Linked DNA regions of Pelodiscus sinensis. The protein of the gene in region 1 interacts with the protein of each later gene in a pairwise test. Links are inferred from orthologs where the notes say so. Each region holds a gene or a part of one and is shown on either strand. Other genes may lie near its edges.

Evidence for each region.
Region 2: the proteins of MCM3AP (region 1) and MCM3 interact in a two-hybrid assay, tested with the Homo sapiens proteins (2 studies listed by BioGRID). The link is inferred for Pelodiscus sinensis from reciprocal best matches to the Homo sapiens genes MCM3AP and MCM3.

What each region holds. Positions count from the first base shown.
Region 1 is NC_134717.1:65,902,270-65,917,362, forward strand, and holds the start of MCM3AP (germinal-center associated nuclear protein), read left to right. Parts: upstream 1-7,217; 5' UTR 7,218-7,369; intron 7,370-11,704; exon of another isoform or gene 11,705-11,857; intron 11,858-13,986; 5' UTR 13,987-14,079; coding exon 14,080-15,093. Other genes in the region: endoribonuclease YbeY, read right to left, coding at 6,416-6,625.
Region 2 is NC_134713.1:8,416,316-8,431,404, reverse strand, and holds the start of MCM3 (DNA replication licensing factor MCM3), read right to left. Parts: upstream 6,006-15,089; 5' UTR 5,893-6,005; coding exon 5,809-5,892; intron 4,341-5,808; coding exon 4,228-4,340; intron 2,290-4,227; coding exon 2,081-2,289; intron 983-2,080; coding exon 852-982; intron 1-851. UniProt on the Homo sapiens protein: Acts as a component of the MCM2-7 complex (MCM complex) which is the replicative helicase essential for 'once per cell cycle' DNA replication initiation and elongation in eukaryotic cells.

The DNA.
Region 1 (15,093 bases):
CTAGACAGTCACTTCCCATCCTTTATGTGTGAAACAGATTGTTTCTTCCTAAGAGGAGCACTTTGCATTTGTCCTTATTAAACTTCATCCTGTTTACCTCAGACCATTTCTCCAATTTGGCCAGATCATTCTGAATTATGACCCTAACCTCCAAAGCAGTTGCAACCCCTCCCAGCTTGGTATCATCTGCAAACTTATTAAGTGTACTCTCTATGCCGATATCTAAATGGTTGATGAAAATATTAAATGGAACTGGTCCCAAACAGACCTCTGCAGAACCCCACTTGTTATGCCTTTCCAGCAGGATTGTGAACTGTTAATAACTACTCTCTGAGAATGGTGATCCAACCAGTTATGCACCCACCTTATAGTATCCCCATCTAAGTTGTATTTGTCTAGTTTATTGATAAGAACATCATGCGAGACCGTATCAAATGCCTTACTAAAGTCTAAGTATACCAAATCCATCGCTTCTCCCTTATCCACAAGACTCCTTATCCTATCAAAGAAAGCTATCAGATTGGTTTGACATGATTTGTTCTTTACAAATCTATGCTGGCTGTTCCCTATCACCTTATTATCTTCCAGATGTTTGCAGATGATTTCCTTAATTCCTTGCTCCATTATCTTTCCTGGCACAGAAGTTAAACTGACTGGTCTGTAGTTTCCTGGGTTGTTCTTATTTCCCTTTTATAGATGGGCACTATATTTGCCCTTTTCCAGTCTTCTGGGAATCAATCCTGTCTTCCATAATTTTCCAAAAATGACAGTTAAAGGTTCAGACACCTCCTCTATCAGCTCCCTGAATATTGTAGGATGCATTTCATCAGGCCCAGGTGACTCAGACATCCTATCAGAATGTTTAATTCATAACTCCCATTTGCTTTTGCCCCCATGACCCACTTTTGAACAAAGCCCATCAGCTTGTGAGCAAACTCCACATATGTACACTCACTGAACATTTTAAAGCTTCTAAATTTCACCCGGTGAGATTCAGAGGTAACCCTGAACTGTTTAAGTGCATAGTCTTTAAACTGCCCATAGTCTAATGCTTCCTCCTCTCCCAGATCATTTAAATACCTCCTTACCTTGCCAGTCTGTCTTACCATCAGGTCAGGCATGCGCTGGTGTCACGTTACTGGAATTTGAGGGAAGCAGCCAGATCATGGCTGCACCCATAGGTGGGGATGCTGGCCCCAAAAATGATATAAAAGGGGGCCCTGTGGGGTGTTGAGTGGGAGCTGTTTGCTGATCCTGTGTATGCTATTTATGTGAGTGTATAATGTCTGTGTGTGTAGGTAGGAATCTGTAATCTGTGCGGAAGCTGAATATTTCTCTGAATGTGGTTGAGCATTGGGCAGAGCCTGGCCTATGGACATGCTAATTAGCGAGGCCCTGTTGGACAATGGCACTCGATGGGCCAAGGACATACCTAAAGCATGAGGGCGGAGACCTAAGAGCTGCCAGGAGAGAGAGGCTGAGGGCCAGGTAACCAGCTGCAGACAAGAAGAGGCCAGGAAGGAGGTATAAAGAGGCCATGTGGGGGATTCCTTTTTGTCTTCAGCTCAGCACTTCATCCCAGAGGCAGCATTGCAGGGATTGAAGAGCCCGAAGGACCTGTGGACCCATCCTGATTCTAGGATGCGCAACAAGAACTTTTAAACCAGAAGCGGTAACATCTCTGCTACAGCCTGCATCGAGAACTGGGAGATTCGGTGCATGTAATGTATTATTCCTTTAACAGCCTCTCTCTCAGGCTTTTCTTTCTTGTGATAATAAACCTTTAGTTGTTAGATGCTAAAGGATTGGCCCAGCGTGATTTGTGGGTAAGGTCCAAAGGGTAAATTGGCCAGGGATCTGTGGCTGGTTTCTTGGGACCGGACAGAACTTGTTCGGAGTAGATGGGATTGGGTGCTAGGACCCCCCACCTGTGTATGAGGCCCGGGGCCATCTGAGGCACGGATATTGCTGGGATGTCAGAGGGGTTTTGCTTGTGAGGCTTCAGGCAGGCTGCTGAAGCTCTTTGTGGGACTGGTTTATGGCCTGTTCAGAGAGGTCACCAGTCTGGGGGCTGTAAGGAGCCCCGGATTTGAGCAATTCGCCCTGAGCAGACGCCCTCAGCTGTGCCCAGACTCGGCCCGGTCTGTCACAGCTGGTCATCTGGGATCCGGTTCACATGGCCAAAAACTCCTCAATATCCTCATTATTGTTGTAGATGGGACAGATCCTTTCCCAACTCTTGTTCGAAAGTGGGGGTGAGCTTTCTGGTTGTAGTATCTTTTGTTGCTCTTCCAGTATTCGGAGTCGCTTGTAACTCTCCTCTGCCGCCAGCTCTTGCTTTCGCGTGCGTGGTCTGCCTCTTTTTCTTCCATTCGCCATGCATGGGCCACTCTCTCCTCTTCCGCTGATGCCTCCTTCTCCTTTCGACGTATCTCGGCCAGGGCCCTCTCATGTTCCAGCTCCATTTTCTTCAATGCCTGCTGCTTTCTAATTTCTTCTGCAACAGCATCCGTGGCATTGGGTGGGAGCCGCTCTATTGCCCGCTGGTCCTTCTGCAGTAGCAAGATGTCAGCTGCTGCTTAGTAGCTTTCTTCCTAAAGTCAATGCCTCTCTCTGAGCACAAATCCTTCAGAGCCTCTCTGTTCAGACTTTCATACCGTTGCTGACTCATTGCAGTTGCTCTTTAACCAACCAAACTCTTAACACCAAAAATCCACTTTAGACAGCGTGGGGTCCTGATCCAAAGCTCAGTTGACCAAGATCTGTGGATCCTGCCGACTACGCCACTGTGACGGACCGGGCTGGGTCTGAGCACAGGTGAGGGCATCAGCTCAGGGCCAATTGCTCAAATTCGGGGCTCCTTACAACCCCTGACTGGAGGTCCTTCCCAAAGAGAACACAAACCAGTCCCACAGAGCACTTCAGCTCATGAGCAAAACCCCTCTGACACCCCAGCTCTCTCCGTGCCCCAAACAGCGCTTGGCCTAACACACAGGTGAGGGGTTATAGGACCCAATCTCACCTTCCCCGAATGGGTTCTCCAGTCCCAAGAAACCAGCCACAGTTCCCAGATCAATTTATACTCTGGATCTTACCCACAAAATCATGCTGAGTCAACCCTTTAGAATCTAAAATATTATTATTAAAAGAAAGAAAAGCATGAGAGTAAGGTTGTTAAAGGATAATACATTACATGCAACGAATCACCCAGTTCTCGATACAGGCTCATAGCCAGGGCTCGCCAAGCGGTGGAGAGCCCTGCTCACCAGCTGCACAGTTCTGCAAGCTGCGCATGCGCAGATCGCGTGGCGTCGGCTATGCCGTCTTGTAATCTACTCGCCACGGGCAAGTAGATTACATGATTTGTCGAGCCCTGCTCACAGCAGAGATGTTATAACTGCTGGCTTAAAAGTCTTTGGTGTACATCCTAGTAAGGATGAGTTCACAGTTCTTTCTGGCTTGTGGTTCCCTGCAAGGCTGCCTCGTGGGTCGAGAGCTGAGCTGAAGACCAAGATGGAGGGTGCCACATGGCACTTATAACCCTCTCCTGGCATCTTCTTGGCTGCAGCAGGTCACCTCGTCCGTGGCCTATCCCTGTGTTCCATGCTGGTAGCCCTTAGGTATCAGTCACATTCCTGAGATGTGTATTTGCACCTAGAGATTCATTGTCTCCTTGCTAATTAGCATAGCCATAGGCTGAGATTTCCTTGCAGAGTACATGTTTATAACTCCACATACAGATATTATACAAGTACCTGAATAGCATACACAGGATCAGTAGAACACAAGCTTTCATGTAACATCTCACATGGCCCCCTTTGTATAGACTTTTGGGGCAAACACCTCTCCAGGGGGCAGCAGTTATCTAGCTGCTTCCCTTAAAATCCAGTAACATGACAGATGGGCACAGAACTTCTTAAGCAAAATGTATTTAAGTGTGAAAATACAAAATTGTGAGATGGAAATTCCGTGTCCACTGTGCTTGGAAACTGTTGCTTGGATGGGAATTTGAATGTGTCCCACTTTCCTAGGTTTCAGAGCCTCCACATAAACCACAACTTCAAAGCACCACCTTTAGGCTATGTCTACACTCACGGCTTCTTGTGCAAGAACTCTTGCTCAAGAAAACGTCCACACTGCCATGTGCGAGCTGTGCTTTTGCACAAGAGCACCCATGGCAGTGTGGACGCTTTCTTGCGTAAGAAAGCTCTGATGGCCATTTTAGCCATAGGGCTTCCTTGCGCAAGAAATCCCTGTTAAGCGTCCACACTGCCCTCTAGCGCAAGAGCTCCTGCGCAAGACGGCTTACACCTGTCAAAAAAGAGCATAGCTCTTGCTCAAGGAGCCCCCTCTTACCACGCCGTACTGTAAATTTACTTGCGCAAGAGGCAGCAGGCACTGTGGATGCTCTGCAGATTCTTGCGCAAGAACGGCCGTACTTGCGCAAGAAGCTGCGAGTGTAGACATAGACTTAAGAGTGTTAGCACAGGCTCTGCTAACCCATGTCTGTTAAATCTGACTGAAATACTACCTTTCACAGGCTGAGTAAAAACACCATCAGAGGCCAAATTTTGCTACAAACAAAAAAATCACCTTTACATCACCAAAACAGCACAAGTACTAAAAACTGTAACTAAATGTAGCAAAAAAGGAGAATTCTTTAGCTAATTATTGATTACTTAGAAAATCTTTTTTTCCACTACTAGGAAACACGGTGTGCAATTATATGGCTGTCTTGTCAGCAGAAATGAAAGGGGAGCCATAAGTGAACTTTAAATGTGGACATTGGTTGTAAAAGTTATATTTCCAAAGCCTTCTTTTCCTATACCTATTACCTGACACTAGCTGAATGGTAGCCTAGACCTTTTTCTTTCTAGAAGTCTTCCATAAGAGAGAGACAGAAAGAAACTGAGTTACCACCAACCAGTTACCTACTCATTACTTTGATATACAGGCAGTCCCCGAGTTACGTACAAGATAGGGACTGCAGGTTTGTTCTTAAGTTGAATCTGTATGTAAGTTGGAACTGGCGTCCAGATTCAGCCGCTGCTGAAACTGATCAGTTTCAACAGCGGCTGAATCTGAATGCCAGTTCTGACTTGCATACAGATTCAACTTAAGAACCCCAGGCGTCCCCAAGTCAGCTGCTGCTGAAACTGATCAGCGGCTGATTCCAAGAAGCCGGGGGCAGAGCAACTCTGCTTCGGGCTTCCTGTAGTCAGCCACTGGTCAGTTTCAGCAGCGGCTGACTTGGGGAAAGCCTGGGGCAGAGCAGCTGGGGTGCTGCTGGGTTGCTCCAGTAGCGCCTCTCCTCGGCGCTACTGGAGCAACCCAGCAGCACCCCAGCTGCTCTGCCCCCTGCGTCCTGATTCAGCCGCTACTGAAACTGACCAGCAGTGGCTGAATCAGGACACCTGGGGCAGAGCAGCTGGGGTGCTGCCAGGTTGGTCCAGTAGCGCCGAGGAGCGGCGCTGCGGGACCAACCCAGCAGCGCCCCAGCTGCTCTATCCCAGGCGTCGTGGGAGAAAAGCCTGGTCTGCTAGGGGGGAGAGGGCACTAGCTGCGCCCCAGCCCCCCCCCCACAGCAGACCAGGGAGACGCGGAGCAAAGCCACGGAGGACGCCCGCAGCGGGACAGCCCAGGCGTGCTGCGGACGTCCTCCGAGGCTTTGCTCCCCGTCTCCCTGGTCTGACCAGCAGACCAGGGAGATGGGGAGCAGCTTTTCTCGCCCCGGAGGACGCGGGCAGCGGGACCGCGGCTCATCTGGGCATCCCGCCGCTCCCATTCTCTGGGGTGAGAAAAGCCCCGTTCGTAACTGCGGATCCAACATAAGTCGGATCCACGTAACTCGGGGACTGCCTGTACTTAAATATAACTACAAAAATTAAAAAAAAGACAAAAAAAGCAGGAACATAAGAACCACCAGCGTGGTCAGACCAATGATCCATCTAACCAAGTATGCTGCCAATAGAGGTCAATGTCAGGTGCTTTAGAAAGAATGATGAGAACTATCAAACTACCCTTCCGCTGCTGTCACTCTCAGGTTCCCAGGAGTGATACTAGCTGCCTTATGGAAGTACAATTTCTGAACTGGACAACAGGCACGAGTATGTATAAACTAAGTCATGGCTTTGTTTTCATGCCTTTTATGAGGCCATGCAAGAAAGAACATAAAAAACTCTCTGAAAGCCCTAAAACACATCCCAGCTCATTATGAATTTCCCAAAACATCTAGGATACTCTGAAGCACCACTGTATCCTCATATATCACCACACAAGGCCATGATAGTGAAATATATTAAACTGCATCTGGATTTAATAAGAGTTATGGTGCATTATAGAAGAGCATGCAAAGAAGTCACTTGTATTATGCAAACCAAGCAAGTAGCTGCAGAAAGAAAGGGGGAAAATTTACCTCATAAAAGGGAAAGGATAGCACATCAGTGGGAACATTTTTTTGGCTGTAGGTGCTGTTGAGTAGTTGAATGTTTTTATTGTTGACACAGATAACAGCCAGATCAAACTGTTGCACATTCAAAATCTTCTGAAGGGTTTCTATACTTCTGCGAAGTGGGATGCGCCTGAGGGGTATGATTTTCTGCAGATTGCGAATGATTAAACTCATTTTACTGGAAGCTATTCAAAAGGTGGTTTGAGGGGGCCCTGCCACTTAATGTGAAATATTAGGCACTGATCGTAACTAACAATCCAGTAGCAGATACCAGACACTACTGTTGCTTGACGGTCCGGGCAAACGTAGATACACACATGACGGAGAGCAGCGGCACGGTAAGGTAAGGAACTTGTACACCCTAGCGCCAGTCCGCTGAAGCGTTCAACCCCCTGGCACCACTGCAAGCCGGGATCCCGACAGCGCGAGGAGCCCCGCCCCGCGTGCGCCCACTGACGGTCGTTACAGCCGGTAGCGCGCGCAGGCAGCTGTCGGGCCTCCCGGGGCGAGCTCCGCAAGGACGCTCGATGTTAACGCTGGAGCCTGAAACACCCTCTGGCGCGCGGCGGCGGCGGCGCCTCCCCTACCCGCTGCAAGCACGTGCGCGGGCCGCGTGAGGCCGGGGCCCGTCTGTCCGGGCGGCAGCTCTCGGCCGCGGAGGAGCCGGGGGCCGTTACAAAGCGCTACATGGCGGGCTGGACGCTCGTGCCGCTGCCGCTCGCCCCGCGCGCTGTGACCGGAAAGGGACGGACGCGCCTGGGAGCGCGCGCAGGGCGGAGCTTCCGGCGGGCGGTGCCTCCCGAGCGGCACAGACCGGAAACGGCTGAGACCGCCCCGCCCATCGGGTGCGCGCGCGCGGAAGGAGAGGACGGTTTCTCCCCGCGAGCGCGATGGCGGCTCCGCTCGTGACCTGGACCGGTGAGAGCGGGGGCGGGGCCTGGCCCACTGGTACCGAGCCCGGAGCTCGCCCGTTTCCCGGGCAACGCCCTGCGGCCCTTGCCCCCCGGCCCCTCTCAACCCCTGCCCCCCCAGACGCCCCCTGGCCCCCCCTCTCCTGTTCGCTGCCCCCGGGCACCCCCCCTGCTCCCCTTTCCTGCCCCTGGACACCCCTGCATTTCCCTCTTCTGTCTCCTGCCCCTGCTCCCCCTCTCCTGTTCCCCTCCCACTCCTGTTCCCCGGGCACCCCCCATCTCCCCTCCCACTCCTGTTCTCTGCCCCCTAGCACCTGTCACTCCTGTTCCCAGACCCCTACCCCTGAGCACTCCCTTTGCCCCCTGCCTCCGAGCACCTCCCTCAGAACCTGTTTCCTGCCCCCCCCATTCCCCAACCCTGCCCCCGAGCACTGCCCTGCGGCCCTTATTCCTGATTCTCCCAGTCCTTCTCCTTGCCCCGGGCTCACACTTGGCCCCCTTGTGTGTTACCACTATTCTTGGTTCACTTTATATTAGAAATGTACAATTCTGGTTAATTGGCTAACCTGCTAAACCTGTTGTTTAACTGGTTAACTGATTACAATGGATGAGCAGGGGGCTGGTACAGCCTGGCTGGAACATCTCCCCGCCCCTGCCACAAGTAAGGGCTGCTCCAACCATGCCAGAACAGCCCCTGTCTGACTTGTGCCCCAGAGTAATGGTGTGCAAGCCATGAGAGGGTGGCGGATGTCTTCCCAGGAGGTCGTGGCACTTTGATGCTGCTGGCCGGGGGCTGGACCCGGCCTTTGGGAGCTGCGCTGTGCAGCGCTTAGATCTGGCCGGCTGGGTGCAGCCATGCAGCATGGCAATTAGATCCGGCTGGCCAGGGGCTGGACCTGGCAGTTGGCGGCCCCAGCAGCGCAGGGGATCGCAGACCAAAAAAGGCTGAGTACCATTGCACCAGAGGGCTGCAACAGCCTCTGCCAGTGGTTGGTGGGGAGCTGCTCCAGCCTCCGCCAGTTAACTGGTTAAACCTTCAGGCTGTGTCTAGACTGGCAAGTTTTTCCGCAAAATCATCTGCTTTTGCGGAAAAACTTGCCAGCTGTCTACACTGCCGCTTGAATTTCTGCAAAAGCACTGCCGATCTCATGTAAGATTGTCAGTGCTTTTGTGGAAATACTAGGCTGCTCCCATTCGGGCACAAGTCTTTTTTCGAAAAACTTTTGCGCAAAAGGGCCAGTGTAGACAGCAGAGATTTGTTTTCCGCAAAAAAGCCCCGATTGCGAAAATGGCGACTGGGGCTTTTTTGCGGAAAAGCGTGTTTAGATTGGCCACGGACACTTTTCCGCAAAAAGTGCTTTTGCGGAAAAGCGTCCTGCCAATCTAGACGCGCTTTTCCGAAAATGCTTTTAACAGAAAACTTTTCCGTTAAAAGCATTTCCAGAAAATCATGCCAGTGTAGACGTAGCCTCACATTCTTACATTTACCTTCTGTTTCTGAACAGCTGTTCCCATTAAAATTGGGTGGGATGCACGGAAATGAAAGTGTAGGTTAGGCTATGCGGTCAGGACTACAGGTGTTCCTTTGTGCTTTGAATTATGGCTTCTGTAGTATATTCAATCAGCAGGAATTTATGGAAAATTATTTTAAGCCCCCCAAGTTCAGGTGTGCCCCCCTTTTGGGACTATCTCTGTTCCACATGGAAACATGAGTTTCAGAATAAGGGTATTGGTTGTGGCCCAACTGTAGCCTGGCTGCTTCTTGGAGTGAGTAGTTACGGTATATTATTCTGGGAAAACTTAGGCTCTGCCTTAATTTCCTTTTTCCTGTGCAGCAGTCTCTTGAAAATAGCATACAGTAAATGGTTTAAAAAGTAGCTAAGCAGTTAAGTATCAGTAAATGCAGTAAAATTAATCATAACATTTTCAGGGAAAGGGTAGTACCTAAAACACTGCAGTAGATTTTTTTTTTTTTAAAGGCAGCTAGTCATAAAGCCTTTAAAGTTAAAAGTGAAAAAATATCCTTAGCGTTGATGTTAACAAATTAGGGCCTTACCATGCATCTGATCTGTATGGGCATACAGCCGCTCCCCGAGTTGCGCGTTTGCACTTATGACCAAAGCTCCCATGGAGCGGTCGTAAAGGCAGTCCCCGACTTACAAATGTGACCCACGCTTACGAACAGTGCAGTCACGTGTAACTCAGTGGGGTCTGAGTTACAAACGGATTGTTACGGCGAAGTGTTTGGTCCATAACTCGTTTGTAACTTGGAGAGAGGGTATACTTTTATACCCACTCAGAACCTTTTCATTGATGAAAGTGCCTGCAGGTGCAGGATCCAGGCCTTCATTGTCACGGTCACATGTATAGTAGGTAATTCCTACTTTATGGTTTAAGAAGGCTGAGGGATTTAGAGAAGCAGTTGGAAAATGAGCAAAACAAACAATTGTTCAGGATAAACTTAAGAAACAACAAATAATCTGGTAGCACTGACTAACAAAACATGTGGTGGTATGAGCTTTCTGGTCTATCAGAACTAGGAATCCTCTAAAGAAATTAATGGTGCACTAGACTACCAGGGACTGAAAGACATTAGGGATGTGAAAGACTAGTCGACTATCTGATAAGCAAAAGCTTATTGATAGTCCATACTAGTCGACTAGCCACCCTCCCCCCCCCCCCTTTGCCTCTATCAGAAAGAGGCAGCAAAGGGCTGGGGGAGGGGAAGTGGCTGGGTGTTGCTCCTTTAAAATGCTGTATGGAGCTCTATGCTGCGCTGCCACTTTGAAACTTAAGCAGTCCGCCGCTGGCCCAGAGCTCCCTGCATCGCTTTCGTCTTTGAGGTGTAGCTCCAGCACTTCAGAGGCAAGGCTCCCTTATAGACTAATCAAATAGTTGATGCAAATTGCATTGACTATTCGATTAACCTATTAATCTAAATTTAACATCCCTAAAGGATACTGCAGAGAAGCTAAATAATTTTAGTATTCACAACAGAGGGTGTTAGGGAGCTAGCTATCCTGACCTACACTTTTCAGATAATAAAGAACAAGGCATTGTCAGAGACTTAGTTGTCAAAAGAATAAGGTTTGGAACAAACTGATTAAATAGCATCAAGTCATAAAGACTGTATGGTACATCCAGGAGTTTTGAAGAAAGTTAGTAAAGTAACTGAATTGCTAGCAAAGCAATGCAATCTATTATACTATTCAACTACTGTGTGTCTACATTGTCCCGTTCAGCTACTTATCTTTAAAAAGAGCAATAGAAGCAATCCTAGTATATGCTACTATGGTTCTAGGTTAAATAGTTGAACAATAATTACAGATAATTTTAATGGGCCTATGAATATGATATAGAAGGGATGAAATGGTATGCCTTCTGTAAAGGGAAGTTCTCTTTCCTCAGTATATTCAAATTGTTTGAGGTTATCAGCAAAATAATGAGTAAAAAATTGGTACATTAGAACTTTTAAAAAGTCCTTCACAGGACTGTTAAGAAAAATAATTAATCATGGGATGAAGGAGAAAGTTAGAGTAATAGTGTTTAAGGCCTGAAGGGAGCGCAAGGAAATGTACTCTTACCTGTACAGTAGAGACCACCACAAATCCAACAACAGGATAACCTTGGATGCTTAAATGAAAGGGAAAGGAGTCCAGGAGAGCTGGCAGTATTTTAAAGAAACCTTATTAAAGGTACAGGAAGAAACCATCCCGATGTGCAGCAAGAAAAGCAAATATGTTAGGCGATCAGATTGGCTTACCGGGGACATCCTTGGTGAGCTTAAACACAAAAAGGAAGCTCACAAGAAGTAGAAACTTGGACAGATGACTAGGGAGGAGTATAAATATATTGCTCGAGAATGTAGGGGAGTTATCAGGAAGGCGAAGCGCAATTGGAATTGCAGCTAGCAAGGGATGTGAAGGATAACAAGAAAAATTTCTACAGACATGTTACCAATAACAGAGTGATCAGAGAGGGTGTGGGGCCCTTACTGGATAAGGGAGGTAACCTAGTGACAGATGATGTGGGAAAAGCTGAAGTACTCAATGCTTTCTTTGCCACTGTCTTCATGGACAAGGTCAGCTCCCAGACAAATGTACTAGGCAACGCAGTATGGGAAGGAGGGTGGGCAGTCCTTGGTAGGGAGAGAACAAGTTAGGAACTATTTAGAAAAGCTAAACATACACAAATCCATGGGTCCGGATTTAATGCATCTGAGGGTACTGAGGGAGCTGGCAAGTGTCATTGCGGAGCCTTTGGCCATTATCTTTGAAAACTTGTGAAGATTGGGGGAGATCCCTGATTACTGGAAAAAGGCAAATGTAGTGCCTATTTTTAAAAAAGGGAAGAAGGACAATCGAGGGAACTACAGACCATTCAGCCTTACCTCAGTCCCTGGAAAAATCATGGGGGGGAATCCTCAAGGAATCCATTTTGAGGCACTTGAAAGAGAGGAAAGTGATCAGGAATAGTCAACATGGATTCACCAAGGGTAAGTCATGCCTGAAAAATCTGCTTAGCTTCTATGGAGAGGTAACTGGCTCTGTAGATACGGGAAAGTCAGTGATGTGATATACCTTGAAATTAGTAGAGCTTTTGATACAATCTCCCACAATTTTCTTGCCAGCGAGTTAAGGGAATATGGATTGGATAAATGGACTAAGATGGATAGAAAGCTGGCTAGACTGTCAGACCCAACGGGTAGTGATCAATGGGTCGATGTCAGGTTGGTGATTGGTTTCTAGCAGAGTACCCCAAGAATCTGTTCTTGGACTGGTTTTGTTCAACATTTTTATTAATGACCTGGATGAGGGGATGGATTGCGCCCTCAGCAAATTTGCAGATGACACTAAGATAGGGGGAGAGCTAGATACGCCAGAGGGCAGGGATAGGGTCCAGAGTGACCTGGACAGATTGGAAGATTGGGCCAAAAGAAATCTGGTGAGGTTCAACAAGGACAAGTATAGAGTCCTGCACTTGGGACGGAAGAATCCAAAGCATTGTTAGAGACTGGGGACTGACTGGCTCAGTAGCAGTTCTGCAGAAAAGGACCTGGGGATTACAGTGGCTGCGAAGCTGGATGACAGTCAACAGTGTGCCCTTGTAGCCAAGAAGGCTAATGGCATATTGGGATGCATTAGGAGGAGCATTGCCAGCAGATCCAGAGAAGTGATTATTCCCCTTTATTTGGCTCTGGTGAGGCCACATCTTGAACATTGTGTCCAGTTCTGGCCCCCCCACTATAGAAAGGATGTGGACACATTGGAGGGGAGACAGCGGCAGGGGACCAAAATGATTAGGGGTTGGAGCGCATGACTTATCAAAAGAGACTGAAGGATTTGTGTTTATTTAGTCTGCAGAAGAGAAGAGTGAGGGGGGGGTTTGTTATTCCAAAAATATTCTCACTGGAGACCACCCAGGGTTACACTAGTATGGGTTTATTTCCACTAGGTAAGACTAAAGAGGAGAAAGCAGCCACCAAAAATTTAAACTAAAGAAGATAGATCGATCTCTCTCTCTCCATTCATTCACTCATTCACATCCATGCATTCCTGCCCTCAGGCACTCACATACTTACACAGACATATGGGTTGCAGAAGGAGCCAAGGCATGTGGATCCTGGAGGGTTTGTCTGATCATCATGGCTGGGGAAGCTGGTCAGGAGGGGAGACCATTGTGCTCCGTCTCTTTATATAGTGTCTGAATGTCTCCTGTGACTCATTCACCTTGCCATCAGGGAGCATGCCCAGACTCCCCTTTATCCAGCAGAGAGCATGCCCAGACTGCAATGACTCATTGAAATGTGCTCCATTGTTCCCAGTCTTCTTCAAACACACTCACACTCTCTCTCCATTCACCCAGGGGGGGAGAATGCACTTTAGGGAAAGTTACAAGCAAGGTGGCTGAGAGTTAAAAAGATTACAAAGTTGCACCTTCAGTAAATTTCTGAGAGTTACACAGATTACAAAGTTTGACAAAGATCACAATGAGTTGCAGTTTAAAACCTTAGATCTTATAATTTGGTGTAGTTTCAGAAAATCCATGTATTTAAATCAAGTAAGCTCAGGCGAAGGCTTTTTTATGCAACAGATTTGATAGCAGCCTTCAACTTCCTGAAGGGAAGTTCCAAAGAGGATGGAGAAAGGCTGTTTACAGTAGTGATGGATGGCAGAACAAGGAGCAGTGGTCTCAAGTTACAGGGGGAGAGGTCTAGATTGGATATTAGGAAAAACTATTTCCCTAGGGAGGGTGGTAAAGCACTGGAATGGGTTAACTAGGGAGATGGTGGAATCTCCATCCTTAGAGGTTTTTAAGTCTTGGCCTGACAAAACTCTGGCTGGGTTGATTTAGTTGGGATTGGGCCTGCCTTGGGCACGGGGCTGGATTTGATGACTTCCTGAGGTCTCTTCCAGCTCTGATTCTATAACAGTCATTTCTTGGATTGGAAACCACAGAAGAGAGAGAACAAGATGCAAGCATATTTTTTAAACATAGTAAAATGTTATTAGGATGTTGCAAAGATATAGGATAAAGCTGTTGTTAATTTGCTTGGTTGAACTTCCCTGTTATAAATGGAAATCAATTAGAAAATTTAATTTAATGTACACATTTGTGTTTCAGATTGCTAGAATGGCTGGCTGGAAGGTGAAAGTAAATGGATGTTCGAGGCATGAACTCTCGTTGGAAGATACTTGCTAATTTTTATTTTTGAAGATGAACCCTAACAGTCCTTTTCGTGGACAGCAGCCTGCTGTTTTCCAAGCACCTTCTAATAGTTCTGTCGGAATATTTCAAGCTCAAACACCATTTCGATTTGGTCAGCCATCACTGTTTGGACAGAGCAGTGGAGGACCTGTACAGAACCTTGGGTTTGCCCAGCCATCCAGCTTTACTCAGCCTTCAGGATTAAGCCAGGCCACTTCAGGGCAAGCTGTGGGATTTGGGCTACCCTCTGGGTTTACACAGGCTTATGGTCTTAGACAGCCTACTTCTTTTGTGACTACTTCTCCATCACCTAACTCTTCTATTGTTGGAAACCAAGGATTCAGTTTTAAACCACCTACTAATCTTGGAACTTTTCAGAATGGTTCTAATTTTGGAGTTGCTCCTGGAGAAGTTTCAAGTAGTGGCTTTGTGGGATCAGAATTCAGTTTTAAAACTCCAGAAAATGCAGTGTTTAAACCAATCTTTGGTGCTGGTTCTGAGCCAGAAAAAACACAAAGCCAGCGCATGCCAACATCTTTTACATTTTCCCATCCGGTTAGTAGTGGGCCTGGAATACTGGCCCCTTTTGGACTTTCCCAAGACACTAGTAGCTCTAGCACTAGTACAAACTTCAGTTTTTCAAAACCAGCTAGCAGCAGTAATTTTTCATCTTCCTTTGCCTCTTCTGTACTAAGCAGAACTGTTGAGGATGACCATAAAGGAACAAAGACACTCTTTGGAAGTCCTAGCAGCAGCTTCACTACTTTTCCTAGCTCATCTTCTGGGTCCTTAGATTTGGGAGGAAACTTCCAACTCAGTACAGCAACTAAATCAGAACATGATGACGCTCAGAGTGAGCCACTTGACAGCCATGTTAAAGGAATGAAAAGAAAAGAAGAACGAGATCGTTCCCCAAGAGGACGGGATTATGATGTTGCAGAGGAGTCAGAGATTGCATCTAGGAATGATTATCCTCCCGATAAGCGGCCTGTTCGGTTAAACCGGCCACGTGGAGGAGGAGGC
Region 2 (15,089 bases), on another chromosome or scaffold:
ACAGCTTGCACTACTTGGCACAAGCCCCTTCGGCCCACCCAAGCACTAGCATGGACTCAGTAGTCATAGAGAGGTCTGCTGGCTGTCCCAGACAAGCAGTCATGGATCACCTGTGCATGAGCAAGACTTTCTGGTGGGAAGAGCATTATGTGGTCGCTGGTAGCCAAATTATCCACTACGTTCTCCAGAGACCAAGTGATCACTCTGCCTAAGGGTACGTCTAGACTACATGCCTCTGTCGCCAGAGGCATGTAGATTAGGCTACCAGACATAGGAAAATGAAGCGGCGATTTAAATAATTGCCGCTTCATTTACATTTACATGGCTGCCGCGCTGAGCCGACAAACAGCTGATTAGCTGTTTGTCGGCTCAGCGCGGCAGCCATGTACATTTAAATGAACGGCGATTATTTAAATCGCCGCTTCATTTTCCTATGTCTGGTAGCCTAATCTACATGCCTCTGGCGACAGAGGCATGTAGTCTAGACGTACCCTAAGAGACCACTCGATCCAATCTAGTAGATGCTTCTGTCTGACCAGGAGCCTAGATTTGAACTCTAGCAAATTCAGCACAGACTGCAAAGCGATTCATAAGCAACCTCCTTTGTGCTATTGCCTTCAGGACTAACACGGTGTTAGCTGATGCTGCTGTCTGTTTCTTGGGAGGGCATTTGACTGGACACTAGAAGAGGCCCCAAATGCATCAGCACCTCTGCCGTAGCTAGGCCTATATATTACTGCTGCTTTAAACCAACATGCACAGTCCACAGATGAACTCATGTACAGTCCTGCACAAGTCACTTCCCTCCCCTGGCCTCTGGTGAATGTTTGACACTACCTCTGTTTGCTCACCTTAGTGGGGTAGACAGAGCTGGATGGAAAAGCATCAAGACTCGTCAGGTCCGTATATCGGCGTTCAATGGTCTTCTTGGTAGCAGGGCAGTAATGGACACTGCGGACGATCTTCGGACGTACCAGAGAGCCTGTGTTTAACATTTGTTTAGTGGGAGGAAAAAAAGTTAGAAGAAACCCTGTAGACATGACTCCAGCAATGAGGTTTCACTGGGAGACCATTCCACAACAGACAGGTCTCCGGACATGTTCCCTGACAGCAAACTTAAACTTCTTGGCTACCTTTCACTCCAGGACTCCTAGATATACCTTAGAAAAGTGATTCTCTAACAAAAAATTGTTTCCCGCCCCCTATTGCAGCACCTCTTCTCACTCTACCCTCTGTGGCTTCCTCTTCCCCAGCCTCACTCACTTTCACCAGGCTGGGATATGAGGTTGAGGTGTGGTAGGGGGAGGTGGAGGTGAGGGCTCTGGCTGTATGGGGTGAAGCGGGACAAGGGGTTTGGGGTGCAGAAGGGAACTCTGAATTCAGATGTAGGGTCCTGGAAATCCCTGTTCTTCTGGATTAGAAGAACCATTAGAGGAGTGAGGTTCTGAAACGGCCTTCCAAGGGAAGTAGTGGGGGCAAAAGATCTATCTGGCTTCAAGATTAAACTAGATGGGTTTATGAAGGGGATTGTTTGATGAGATAACATGATCTTGGTAACTAATTGACCATTCAGTATCATTGGGAAATAGGTCAATGGAGGGATGATAGGAATTACTAGAGAACTTTCTGGGTGTCTGGCTGATGAGTCTTGCCCACATGCTCAGGGTTTAGCTGATCGCCATATTTGGGGTCGGGAAGGAATTTTCCTCCAGGGTAGATTGGCAGAGGCCCTGGAGGTTTTTCGCCTTCCTCTGTAGCATGGGGCACAGATCACAGCTAGAGGATTTTCTGCATCTTGAGGTCTTCAAAGTATTTGAAGGCTTCAATATCTGAGATATAGGTGAGGGGATTATTCTGGGAGGGGTGGGTGAGATTCTGTAGCCTGCACTGTGCAGGGGGTCAGACTAGATGATCACAATGATCCCTTCTGACCTTAAAGTCTATGAGACTCTAATTTAAGCAGCACTACCCTGGATCATCCTAGCCATCCCTGACATTCTCACTGGTCTAGTATCTACAGGCAGTTATCAATCCCATATGGGCATTCATATGGCACATCTCAGCCCCCCCCTGCACTCACATTTTGTTACAATGCCCTCCACACAGACCATGCAGCCCAAAAGACAGGATGTCAGTGTCCGGGGAGTCACATGCTTGGAGCCAAAGCTGCCCTCCAGCCCGATGTAGAATTCCTCATATTGCTTAGCGTACGTGGCATCGATGGACGCGACAAAGTCCTTCAGGGCACGCTGAAAGGCAACCAGCTCCTCGAAGGCACTACTCAGGAGCCTAGAGCAAAAGGCAGCAGGACTCCAATCAGTTCAGCTGTCTTGCTAGCACATCCACAGCAGGAAGACCCTTTCTTTACAGAACGGCAATTCCTAGTGCCCTCACAGAACAGCGGCAGAGCTGTGCAAACACTGACAATTGTTTTCCCATCACCCATGTGAGGATTCATTTCAGTCAAGAAGTGAATGCACTATGGACATCAAGTCCCTAACCAGGATCGATACTCTACTGCAAGTATATGGGATTTAGGAACCAAACTGAATATATCACTTTTGAAAGTCTCATTAGGTGCCTATCTGTAGGTGCTGAAATATTTGAGTAAGACTAGTCTTGAACTTCATTAAGATTCCTAAATTACTGGGTGCTTTTAAAATGTTCCAACCCCCATATGGGCTTTCTGCAAACATCGCAGCAAACAGGTTTTCTTAGCACAAATGCACACAGGCTAGAATGCTACACAGGGTCGCAGCTGGTCCTTGAATCTGGGGAGAAGGCAAGTCCCAGGTTTAGAATTGCATACGGATTGAATGCCCTCTAAAATAGGAGACTGGACCTTGCTTGCCAGATTCCAGTTTGCAGATGTGATGTTCTCAGCAGATAAGATGGAGTCTCATGCCAACCAAAATGCACAAAAGGGAGTTTGCATTGACTTAATCTGGCCCACGAGGCTTGGGGCTTGCTCTCCCTCAGCAGCACAAGCCAGCACTGGCACTCCAGCCATGAGGCAGGGGGGAAGCACATGGCTTATGCCTTGTGGGCCCAATCAAAGCAAGACATAGGCTGGATTGGGCCCCATGGACTTTCCAAGGCAGGGTGAGAGGTACCCCATATCCACTGCCCCCTCCTGTATCCCCTGCTCAGTCCTCATGTCTGCACGCTCCTTCCTTCCCTTCCAGACCCTGCACCTCACCTCCAGCCTCCTCCTGTACCCTCCCTCCCAGACCATGCATCCTCACCATGCTTCTGCCACCTCCCTCCTGCCCTGACCCCATACAGTCTAACCCATTCCTGAACCCTCCCTCCCTGACTCCACAACCATACTCCTAGCCCTCTCCCCGACTGCCCCCTCTCACACACTGGACCCCTCATTTTTGGCCCCACTCCAGAGAGTATCTCTGGGCCCCCAGAAGAGTTAATCCAGCACTGTGGTGTAACCCCTGAGCCTCAGAGCCTCCCCTATCTCCAGGACTGGAGCTTGAGGGAAAGGTCTTCTTTTCCTTCTTCTCACTGGGGACCAGGTCAGTGAGGACTGTGGAGGGTTTATTTTTTTGCTTCTCACTTGGTTAGCCCCCAACTGATTTTTTCTCTGTGGGTCAGTGGCCACCAACCTAAAAAAAAAGATTCCCCACGCCTGAGCTACATCATGATAAATGCTACCTGTGCTTCATCTCCTATAATTTTGCATCAAGATGGCTAATGCATGATAGTTATCTTGCTGTAACAAAAACAACAACAAACAATAATAAAACAAAAAGCACACACTTTTCTGGTTGTGAAGATATTACCTTAGCACAGGTCTACACAAGAAACTTTTACAAGTGTGTTAGTATTTCTTTTTTGGGGGAAGGGTCAGCACCATTTCAACACTGACAAAAGCCCTGCTGTAGATGCTGCAATACCAGCATAAGCATTTTGGCTGGTACATCTTATTTTGCTCAGAGTCCCTCTAAAAGGTATAGCAGCAAAAGTGCTTAGGGTACCTGTGTAATCTACATTTCCTTTAGTAGGATTTGCTGGTGTTAGTACACTGGACAAACCTTTTCTACTACAGAGCTTTAGAGAGAAAGTAATAGTTTAACCCATTGACCTGCCTGCAAAGTTTGCCAACATGGAAACAACAACTGTACAGGCTCTCCTCTCATACTACTCACTACATGCTGTGCAGGAGCCAAGTTGGAAGAAACACTCTTGTCGAGTTCCTTCACAGGTTACTCTTACCGGTTGGCTCTCTTCTCGTTCTTCCTCCTCAGCTCATTGATGCTAACAATCAGACGATACTGATTATCGTGGATCATATCCCGGACTTTGCTCTGGTAAACTCCCTGGTCCTCCTGCAGCATGCCATGAGAGAAAGGTTCCCTTTTACAAAGTTAAGCTGGCGAGATGCAGCCCATTTGATTTGTCTTTAGTGGCTCAGGAAATCCCCCCCCACCCCCTTCCTGTTATTCATGCTGGATATCTTTGTTGCAAGGAAAGGCCAGATAGAGGAATGCAGTGTCAACACCTTCACTTTGAGTTGGAAATGCAGTTCCCACCTCGAAGAAACATAGGATCTAAGTTATGCAGCTTCAGTTATGCAATTACCATAGGTGAGGTCAGCATATTTAGATCTACTTACTGCAGCATGCTTGACGCAGTGCACTGACAGGCAGTGCTCTCCCATCAACTCCCCTTGCACTTATCATTGAGGTGAAGTACCAGAGTCAACGGGAGAGTGATCTGTGGTCAATTTATCGTGACTTTAATAGACTTGATAAATCAACACCAACTGGATTGATCACTGAGCCAATGGTGAAGACAAGCCCTTATTCTCACCATCTCTGATTGAGACGGCTCACTAAATATAGAGCATAACCAATAGTGTAACCAAACCAGCAGGAGGGACTAACCATCAAAATTATGTACTTATATGCATGTGATCTCAGACATTTGCTGACACAGCATCCTTCTATGTTTGGTATGCTAGCTCCATCAGAGCAAGCACAAGAATTTATCCTCTACCTGTGCGGTGTTTTAGATGCTGCTTGTAATTATTAGAACTGGGAGCACTGGCTGTTGGGAATCTGGAAGCACAGGAAAGAGGAAGGAGGGGGGAGGAGATGGGCCAGGCCTGAGTGAGAGCTACAGAGGGGAGCAGCAGCAGCTTTGTAAAGAGGTTTCACCTTTGTTAAATAAAAGGCCTGTTGAAGTTTGTTACTATCTTGCTTGCATGATACAACAACTTGGGGATCACCCCCCCCCCAGCTTTCAGTACAGACTGCGTTCCTTTTTAGTACCCTATGCCTTCTTGCAGATAGTCAGTTACAACTCAAGCTGCGAAAGAGAAAGACACTCCCCACATTCCCCTTGCACACCAGAGCCAAAGGGGGGGGAGGGCAGGCTAGTAGATTCTGTGCGCCCCAGCCCCACAAGTGCGGTGGCAGTGCCAGCATGGGCTCCCCAACTGGCCGTGCACAAGATGGGGGGGGGGGGTGTGCAGGGCAAAGCGTTAAAACGAGATTTTTAAACCTCCCCCCCCCCCCGCGCCTGAGCGGAGCTACGGGACTGGCCGTGCACAAGATGGGGGGGTGCAGGGCAGCAGCCCCACCTTGCAAGGACCGCCCCCCCCCCGGGAATGGGCGTGGTTTGCAAGGGGGGGCGGGGATCTCCTCCCCCCCAGAGGCCAAACTTGGACACGGGGAGGGGGGAGCCCCCCCCGGGCTGGGGAGGGAGACAGGAAACCCAGCAACAGCCCCCCCCCCCCACGCCTGGGTCCTCTCCATACCGCCCCCCCCCGGCCCGGAGCTCGCCCAGTCTCACCTCGTCGTCCAGGAAATCGAGGTAGTCGCGCTGCGCCTCCCGCAGCTCCGCGTCCTCCAGCCCCGCCGCCGCGGGGGCCGCCATGGTGCCTGCGCTGGGGAGCGGGGCCGGCGCCGTGGAGCAAAGGCTGGACTCAGGGGCGCCCGCGCTGCCGCTGGCTCCGCCCCTGGCGCCAAAACCGGCCGCGTTTTCCCGCCACCGCAGGGGTCACCAAGGCTCCGTCTCCCATTGGCCAGCCTCTGACTGAGCCGGGAAGCGGCCGGCCAATACCAGAGAGCGGGAGAAGAGGCCACAGCTTCAGCCAATCAGGGGGAGAGGCTGAGAACGTTCGGTCCTTCACGCTGTAGTCCGCCCTCGAGCATGCTGGGATGTGTAGTTTCTACTAGACGCTGTGGGGGCCAAGGGAGCATTGCATGCTGGGAGGTGCATGCCTGCCAGAGGCATGCTGGGCCATGTAGTCCATCACGGGTGCATGTTTTAGGGTCAGTTCTGAGCCATAGCAAGTCAGGCATTTAGGCCTAGTCTCTGCTACATCGGAAGGTCGAAGTAAGATACACAACTCCAGCTATGTCTCTTACATCGCATTTCTGTGCTCTGCACACAGAGGGAAGCCAATGGGAGGAGCAGGAGTACCTGAGCCAACCCGGTTGCCCTTCCAGTTCGATCTAGAGGATGAACCCACTAAATCGAACCCCCAAAAATCTACCATGGCAGTGTCTTCCACATAGTGTAGACATGCCCTTGCAGTGTTAATATCACTGTATTACGTAGCCATGAGCGAGCCTTCCCAAACCTATGAGATTAGTAATAATAATAAATGAGGAGAGGTTGTGCTATGTGCTTTCTGGTTGTTCAGCCCTTACGATAGAAATAGGGAGGTGTTAGTCTGATCTTGTTAAAACAAAAGGGAAAACTATGTAACACTAACAAGATTGGTTAATAGGTGATGAGCTTTCCTGGGCCAGACCCACTTCCTTAACTCATATTCTGGAAGAGAATTGGCATGACCATATATACCAAAAGAATACAATGAAAAAAGTGAACACATTATTAAACTGACAAATCAGATTTAGTACAGAAGGTGGGGCCAGGGAGAGGAAGGGAGGGGATAGCTATATATGAGTCAATGAATGGCTAATTAGGGGTGATAAGTGGAGAAACTTTGTAATGGGTAAGATAATTAGCATCTTAAGGCCCATTCGTAAAGTGTCAAATTTAAGCATGAATGAAAGTTCTGAAGTTTCCCTCTGTAATCTGGTGTTAAAGTCTCTTTGAAGTAAGATGCATGTAGTAAGGTCGTTAAGACTATGTCCGATAAGTTGAAATGAAAACCAACTGGTTTTTCCTTGTGAAGATGTCTGATGTCTGATTTGTAGGCATTAATTCTGTGGTGAAGTGTCTGAGAAGTCTGTCCAATATACATAGCAGAAGGACACTGTTGGCACATGATGGAATAAATTATATTTCTGGACGAACAGGATGAACTGGGATCACATTTTAATGCTTTTCTGCAGCTCACCCCACTTCCTCTACACTAGAAACTTATGAGTAATTAAAATGGAAAGAACTTTAAAAACTAATGGTCCTGTAGCACCTTAGCAACAAGCAAAAATATATATATAATATCATGAGCTTTCGTGGGCACAATCCACAGATCTCCAAATGGCTGTCTTGTTACAGACCAATTTTACACAGAGAAGGGTTGGAATTACAATTCATCTACAAATTAATTCTCACACCTATGGCCTCAATCAAGATAATGGATGGCTGGGACATTATCAATCAAACAAACAATGAAGGTGCCAACAGCTCTTTATCTGGGTAGATTTTTGTAGTAGTACTTTTCCTCTCTTAATTGCTATCCTATGATCCTTATCTTCTTCTTTTTACTATTCAATTTTTAGGAGCTTACTGATTACCAGTTTTGCCTTTCTGGTTTTCCCTTTGGCCATGTCCAGACTCAGGGGTTTTTTCGGGAAAAGTAGCCTTTTCCCGAAAAAACTTCCCCTGCGTCCAGACTCAAGCTGCGTTCTTTCGAAATTATTTCGAAAGAACGCGGCTTTTCTTTCGATGGTGGTAAACCTCGTTTCACGAGGAAGAACGCCTTCTTTCGAAAGTTCCTCTTTCGAAAGAAGGCGTTCTACAATGTAAAGAGGCCGTCTTCGAAAGAGAGCATCCAGACTCGCTGGGTGCTCTCTTTCGAAAAAGTGGATTTCCTCTATTGAAAGATCCGCCTGCAGTCTAGATGCGATCTTTCGAAAGAGGCTCTTTCGAAAGATGCTTTTGAAAGAGCCTCTTTCGAAAGAAGCCTGCAGTCTAGACATAGCCTTTGATATTTACAAACCCTCTGCTTCTTGTATCCTTCTCCCCTATTTATTATTTTGGGTCTGGACATCCTAAACTCAATTCTCTGGTAATCTGAAGAAGTGGGCTGTGCCCACAAAACCTCGTATTCAATTAATGGAGATTGTCTATCTCCTAGAGCTGGAAGGGACCTTGAAAGATCAAGTTCAATCACCTGTTTTCACAACAGGAGCAAGTACCATCCCTAACAAATTTTTGTCCTAAATGGCCTCTGCAAGGATTGAACTCACAATCCTGGGCTTAGCAAGCCAATGCCCAAACCACTGAGCTATCCCTCCCCCACGGCTACATGTTTTGTTAGTCTATTAAGTGCTACCAGACTATGTGTTGTTTTTTAAGTTTATCCAATACAGATGAACTTGGCTACTCCCTGAAGCAGTGAGAAGAGGATTATGACCTATGTAAAATGCTACATCAAAATCTTTAGTCATTCCAATTCAGTCCCACTAGGGGGAAGCAGATTCCAATGGAACACAGTTAACTGTTCTGTGTGTGCACAAACGAGACTAGATAATCAGTAAGTGCCCTATTTCCTCTTTACAGGGTTAGGTCTCAGGCTCAGCTCCACCTATATATCTGAAATCTGCTAAATAGCTGTTGTTATTGAATTAGGATGATATATTGAATGTTCAAATATAATCACCCTACCCCTCTAATCCTTTCCCTGGTTCCACAACTGAAACAGTACAGTTCTGCCCCTTCCTTGCTTCTCATTTTTCGGGTCCCACTCTTTTCTCCTCTCCTCTTGGAATAAACTTGGTTGGGGTCAATACAGCTTCACTAGTGTAAAATTGCTGACTGGAGAATTAGGCCTCCCCAAGTCCTGCAGTTCCACCAATTCTGCTGCCCTTCACGGCCATTTTGCTACTTCCTGTGCTGGCCCCTACACTAATAGCCTTCCTCATCCAGTATTCTCAGCAGCCTCTTGGTCCTTCAAATCTATCTCTTTTCGCAATCTCTCTTAGAATGAGCTAAATTCTCCTTTTAGCTGTAGTGACTTAATTGGGACAATGAAACTGAAAGGGTGGATTTGTGCCCACGGTTTCACACCTCCAAACTAACCTTTGGCATTCTAGGCAAATGTAAATATAAATTCTAGGCTAATGTAACATAATCCTTGCAATGCAAGCGAGTGCATAATCATATTGCATGCATCCTGCCTCTCCCTCTGCTATGTCTCCCTCCAGCATTTCATCTTGTGTATTACCTAGGCTGGAAGATGTTTGGAGCAGTGACTTTGGACCTGATTATCCACTGAGCAGGTGTAAAATGCTACCCAGTCAGGATGGTAACTCACTGCAGACATGCAGGATGGTGGAGAATGATGTCCCATTGACCAGATTCTGGTCCCTGCTCTGGCTGCTTCATGTGTTTCTGATGGCGCGAAGCAGTCAGAAAGCATCCCTAATGAAGCTGGAGATTCCCCTCAGATAAGAGAATCTCTGGGTGGCATAAACTAGACTAGTTGACTCTATACAGACAAGGAAGTATGTTGGAGCCATAAAGAAGTATGGCCAAAGCACAATGCATTCCCAGGTTCCTAGACTAGCAGAATAAGCGCAGAAGGCCAGATGTTCCAGCTGGTGCCAGTTACAGCATCTTTGAGGGTGAGGATGATCTAACCTACGCTTGGGGTCAAATTAGCTCTTGGTAGCCTCCAAAATCAGAGGGGATGGAAAGGTGTAGAAAGCCATCTATGTCTCCTATAGGGGTGCATCAATCATGGCTCAGAGTCACCTGCAGATTTGGCCTCATCTCTTTATTTTCTCTGAAAAGCACCATGCACACTTAGGCTACGTCTACACTGGCATGATTTTCCGAAAATGCTTTTAACGGAAAAGTTTTCCGTTAAAAGCATTTTCGGAAAAGCACGTCTAGATTGGCAAGATGCTTTTCCGCAAAAGCACTTTTTGCGGAAAAGCGTCCGTGGCCAATCTAGACGCAGTTTTCCACAAAAAAGCCCCGATCGCCATTTTCGCGATCCAGGTTTTTTTGCGGAAAACAGTACTGTGCTGTTTACACTGGCCCTCTTGCACAAATGATTTGCGCAAGAGGGCTTTTGCCCTAATGGGAGCAGCACAGTATTTCCCCAAGAACACTGACAATCTTACATGAGATCATCAGTGTTCTTGCGGAAATTCAAGTGGCCAGTGTAGACAGCTGGCAAGTTTTTCCGCAAAATCATTTGATTTTGCGGAAAAACTTGCCAGCCTAGACACAGCCTTAAGGTACATCTACACTACAGAGGAAGATCGAAGCTGCCTCTGTCAATCTTCCAGGGTTCACATTAGTGGGTCTAGTTAATTCAGCTCATTCGAACTGAGAGGGGCACTCCGGTCAATGCCAGTACCCCTGCTTTCACGAGGAGCAAGGGAAGTCGAAGGGAGAGAGTGTGCTCCCTTCAACTTCCTGCAGTGTGGACAGCACCAAAAGCCGAGTTAAGCTACTTCTACTTCAGCTACGCAATTAACATAGCTGAAGTTGTGTATCTTAATTCGACTTTGTCCCGTAGTGTAGATGTACCCTTATAGTCCCATGAAGCCATGGTGAAGAAAAGCAGCAGAAGAAGAAAGGTTATGGACTTACTCTTGGAGTTCTGCTGTCGATGGGAATGAGGATAGGATCAAGCCTTATATTTGTAGAGTTGAAAAATAAAAGCTTGTTGGGCTTGGCACAGGATGGAAACATCCAGGAATATGCTGGCTAATGTGTGTGCAGACAACAGCCCCCGTTACTGGAATGAACCAATGTGTGTGCAGTAAACACAGGGGACAGGCTTAGGCTAGAATGGAGTAGGAGCAGACAAGCCAATCATACACCTGCAGTTGGGCTTACAGGTTCAGCCATCATAACAGAGGGCATGGGGAGTTGCTTAGAAATGTTATCCAGACATTACATTAAATATCAGTTCTAGGGCAGCTTTCCTCTCTTGGTAATGCACGGTTTATATTCTCCACTCTCTGTGATAGACAGCGTGGAACAGGGGTTCTCAGGACAAAACTTTTGGTGGCCTCAAAGTGAAGCCACCAACTCTTTCTGCTGGCCACTCTCACACTTTTTCCTAAGCTTCAGGGAGTAGCCAAATTAGCCTGTACAGGATAAACTTACAAAACAACAAATGGTTTGGTAGCACTTTATAGACTAACAAAACTTGGGGATGGTATCATGAGCTTTTGTGGGCACAGCCCTCTTCTTCAGATGACCGGAGTTTGGAGTTTAGGATGTCTAGACCCAAAATAAATAGGGGAGAAGGGAGAGAGGGGAAGGGGGAAAAAAGGAAGGTGGCAGGAAACAAGGAGCAGAGGGTATCAAAATATCAAAGGGAAATACTAAAATACAGAAGACTGCCAATAATTTGGAACCTTTGTTACCTAGGTGGTGCCAGATTATTGGATATGCCGGACTATCAGGAGATACTATAAGATGATTATATATACACTGTATACAGTATATACTGTCTATAAAGTGTTTTTAACCCTTTTTATTGTACATGCTGTATACAGTATTCTGTAATGTTTTAGTTTTTTTAACCCTTTTTTACCCTTTTTGCTCGGTTCAGCTGCTGTCGCTGCTGCTTTGTGACTCGTTGTTTGCCGAAGCTCATTCACTAGGCTCTTGCCATTTTGATGACGGACTATCAGGAGTGCCGTACAATTGGATGCCGAACTATTGGAGTTTTGCTGTACTTAGTTAGCTTCAGGAAAAGCAAATAAATAAGCACATATGTACGTCCAAATCATTGTAATTTATTTATTGCTAGCTAGTAAGTCTGCTGTGAAAAGTGATATTAACAAACACACAAGTAGCACTTTTCCAAGCAGATATAATCAGCCCTACCAAGCTTGGGCACAAATTAAGCCCTGCAGGCAGCCTGGGACTACTGCTGTGTAGTCAAAGTTTAGGGATGGAGCCCAAAGTCCTGCCCCTCTCTGGACTGAAGCCCAAATCGTGATCCCCACCACTGCTGGGAAGGTAGGGAACTAATTTACTGCCTGCCTGCTCCTACAGCGTTGTGCCTCAGTTGTCTCCAGAGGCGGGCAGCACTCAAACCCTACTGACAGCCCTGCAACCACCACGAGCACCAGGGTGGGGGAACAGGGCCATCCCTACCGATGCTGGTGCCATATGCAGCCCAACACCAGCACTTCCCCAATGGCCACTCTGCACAGGGAAGGGGGATGAAGCTGAAAGGGGTTGCCAGTTTTCCCGATCTAGATGCCATTTACTGCAATGGTGTCTAGTTTGTGCAGTCTTGGAGAACTGGCAGCAGCAGAGCAGGGCTGAGAGGGAGGCACAGGCCGGAGGACCAGCAGGCAGTCACATAGCCAGCCAGAGAGAAGCAGTACTTTTAAGGGGAAACTGCTCATTCTCTCCAGTTGCTCACTCTGTGGCTGCCCCCTGCTCCGTCTGTGTCCTCTGGCCCCGCAAGCACCACTTGCCACTGCTTGGTGAGCAGGTAGTGTTGCCAGATGGTTTAACAAAAAATACCGAACCGTCCCTCCCCTTCCCCCCAAAAAACACTGGAAAAAAATTCTGTTGAGAAAAAAAAGAGGGGGGGGAGGGTAGAGCAAACTTTTAGAATTAAAAAAAAGGGGGAGGTACTGCGCCTTTAAATGGCCCCGCAATCCTCCTCACTCCCCCCACCCCTGCCAGATGCGGCAGGGGAAAATTGTCCCCACCTGGCTTCTGTCTGAGGGAGACAGGAAATACCGAAATGTTCGGTATTTTCTGTTTTTTTTTACTAGACAGGGGACCCGAATAACGGACAGTCTGGGTGAAAACCGGACACCTGGCAACCCTATGAGCAGGGGCTGGGTACTGAGCCCTGAGAGGCTAGCCAGCTGGTGCTGAGCCAGGGGGAGCGGCTGGGGACGACCAGAGGTCCAGGACAGCCTGTGGGGGGAATGGAGGCTGCTGGAGCCCATAGGCAGCCCCCAGCTGCATAGGGCCCTGTGAAAGTTGGGGCAATTTGGTGCCCCAAAGTTCATGGTGCCCCACGTGGCCGTGTATTTTGCGTATGGGTAAGGAGGGCCCTGCAGGAGAGAGACTGCCACAGGCTTCTTTCCCTAAACACACACCCACACAGCCCAGGAGGCAGTGGCCACAAAAAAAGCCCCGAGTGGCCAGGGTGGCATTTGAGAAACACTGGCATAGTGTCCTAGCTCATGCGGTCACTGAAGGGAAGGATATTAGAAAAGATAGAAGCATTTGATGGAATAGAAAGAGATCCGACTGCTTGTTTGTTTCAGGAGAAGCCAGCTCTCAGTGCACCTGTGGATCTGATTCCAGAACAAGCCATGGACACCAGTAACTCACTGTAAATTGCCAGCAAGAAATGTATTTGTAACGTATGTCACCCAAGAGGTTATGAGCCTCGTTCTCCACGGCTTTGCATCTTATGTGTAGTTATTTACATCTGTGCAGAGTGTAACTGCTACCACCAGTGTGAGAGAGAGGAGGATACTGATTTGTTAGTGTAAATTCTGATTAAGCACCACTGCCCCTTTAGTGGGTTAACTCAGAACTGCACTATTGAGCATCATAGGCCCTATACTGCTGCTAGCTGAGGGAAAGTCTCCTCTGGCTTAAATGGCACAGTCCTATCTTTTTAGAGTAGTAGGACCTGAGATCTATCCTTGATGTTACATTAAAGGTTAAAGGTGGTGGTGTGAAGCAGCGTGAACTTATAATTTCCTTAGGCTGTCTACACAGCAGTGTTATTTCAGAATAACTGGCATTATAACGAAGAGCGCGTCTATGCTACAAGCCATTAATTTGAAATAATGGTGAGCTGGAGGACTTCTTACTCCAACTCCTGGTACCCCTCATCTTACGAGGAGTAAGGGAAGATGAAGGAAGACTGTTCTTCCTTCAACGTCTTGCTGCATACACAGCTCCAAAAGCTGAGTTAAGCTATTTCGACTTAAGCTACGCAATTGATGTAGCTCAAGTTGAGTAATTAATTCAATTTTAGCACTGCTGTGCAGACATACCCTTAGGCTACGTCTACATTGCAGGCTTCTTGTGCGAGAACTGTTTTGCGCAAGAGTTCTTGCACAAAATGTCTTCCACAAGATCATGTCCACACTGCCATGTGCTTTTGCGCAAGAGATGGGCTTTTGCACAAGAGCATCCATGGCAGTGTGGACGCTCTCTTGTGCAAGAAACCTCTGATGGCCATTTTAACCATAAGGGTTTCTTGTGCAAGAAATTCATGTTGCCTGTCTACACTGCCTTCTTGTGTAAGGGTACGTCTAAACTACATGCCTCCGTCAACGGAGGCATGTAGATTAGCCAGATCGGCAGAGGGAAATGAAGCCGCGATTAAAATAATCGCGGCTTCATTTCAATTTAAATGGCTGCCCCGCTCTGCCGATCAGCTGTTTGTCGGCAGATCGGGGCAGTCTGGACGCGACGCGCCGACAAAGAAGCCTTTCTTGATCGGCACAGGTATGCCTCGTGAAACCAGGTTTACCTGTGCCGATCAAGAAAGGCTTCTTTGTCGGCGCGTCGCGTCCAGACTGCCCCGATCTGCCGACAAACAGCTGATCGGCAGAGCGGGGCAGCCATTTAAATTGAAATGAAGCCGCGATTATTTTAATCGCGGCTTCATTTCCCTCTGCCGATCTGGCTAATCTACATGCCTCCGTCGACGGAGGCATGTAGTTTAGACGTACCCTAAGAGCTCTTGTGCAAGAGGGCTTATTCCTCATGGGGAGAGGAATAACTCTTCCGGAAGAAGCCCTGTTTTCTGCCACTGTATTGTAAATTTACTTGTGCAAGAACGCGCATGCAGTGTAGACACCCGGCAAGTTTTTGCACAAGAACAGCTGCTCTTGCGCAAAAAGCCTGCAGTGTAGACGTAGCTTTAGTGACTATGTTTTGTTCTGACTTTAAGAACAAATATTAACACTTTT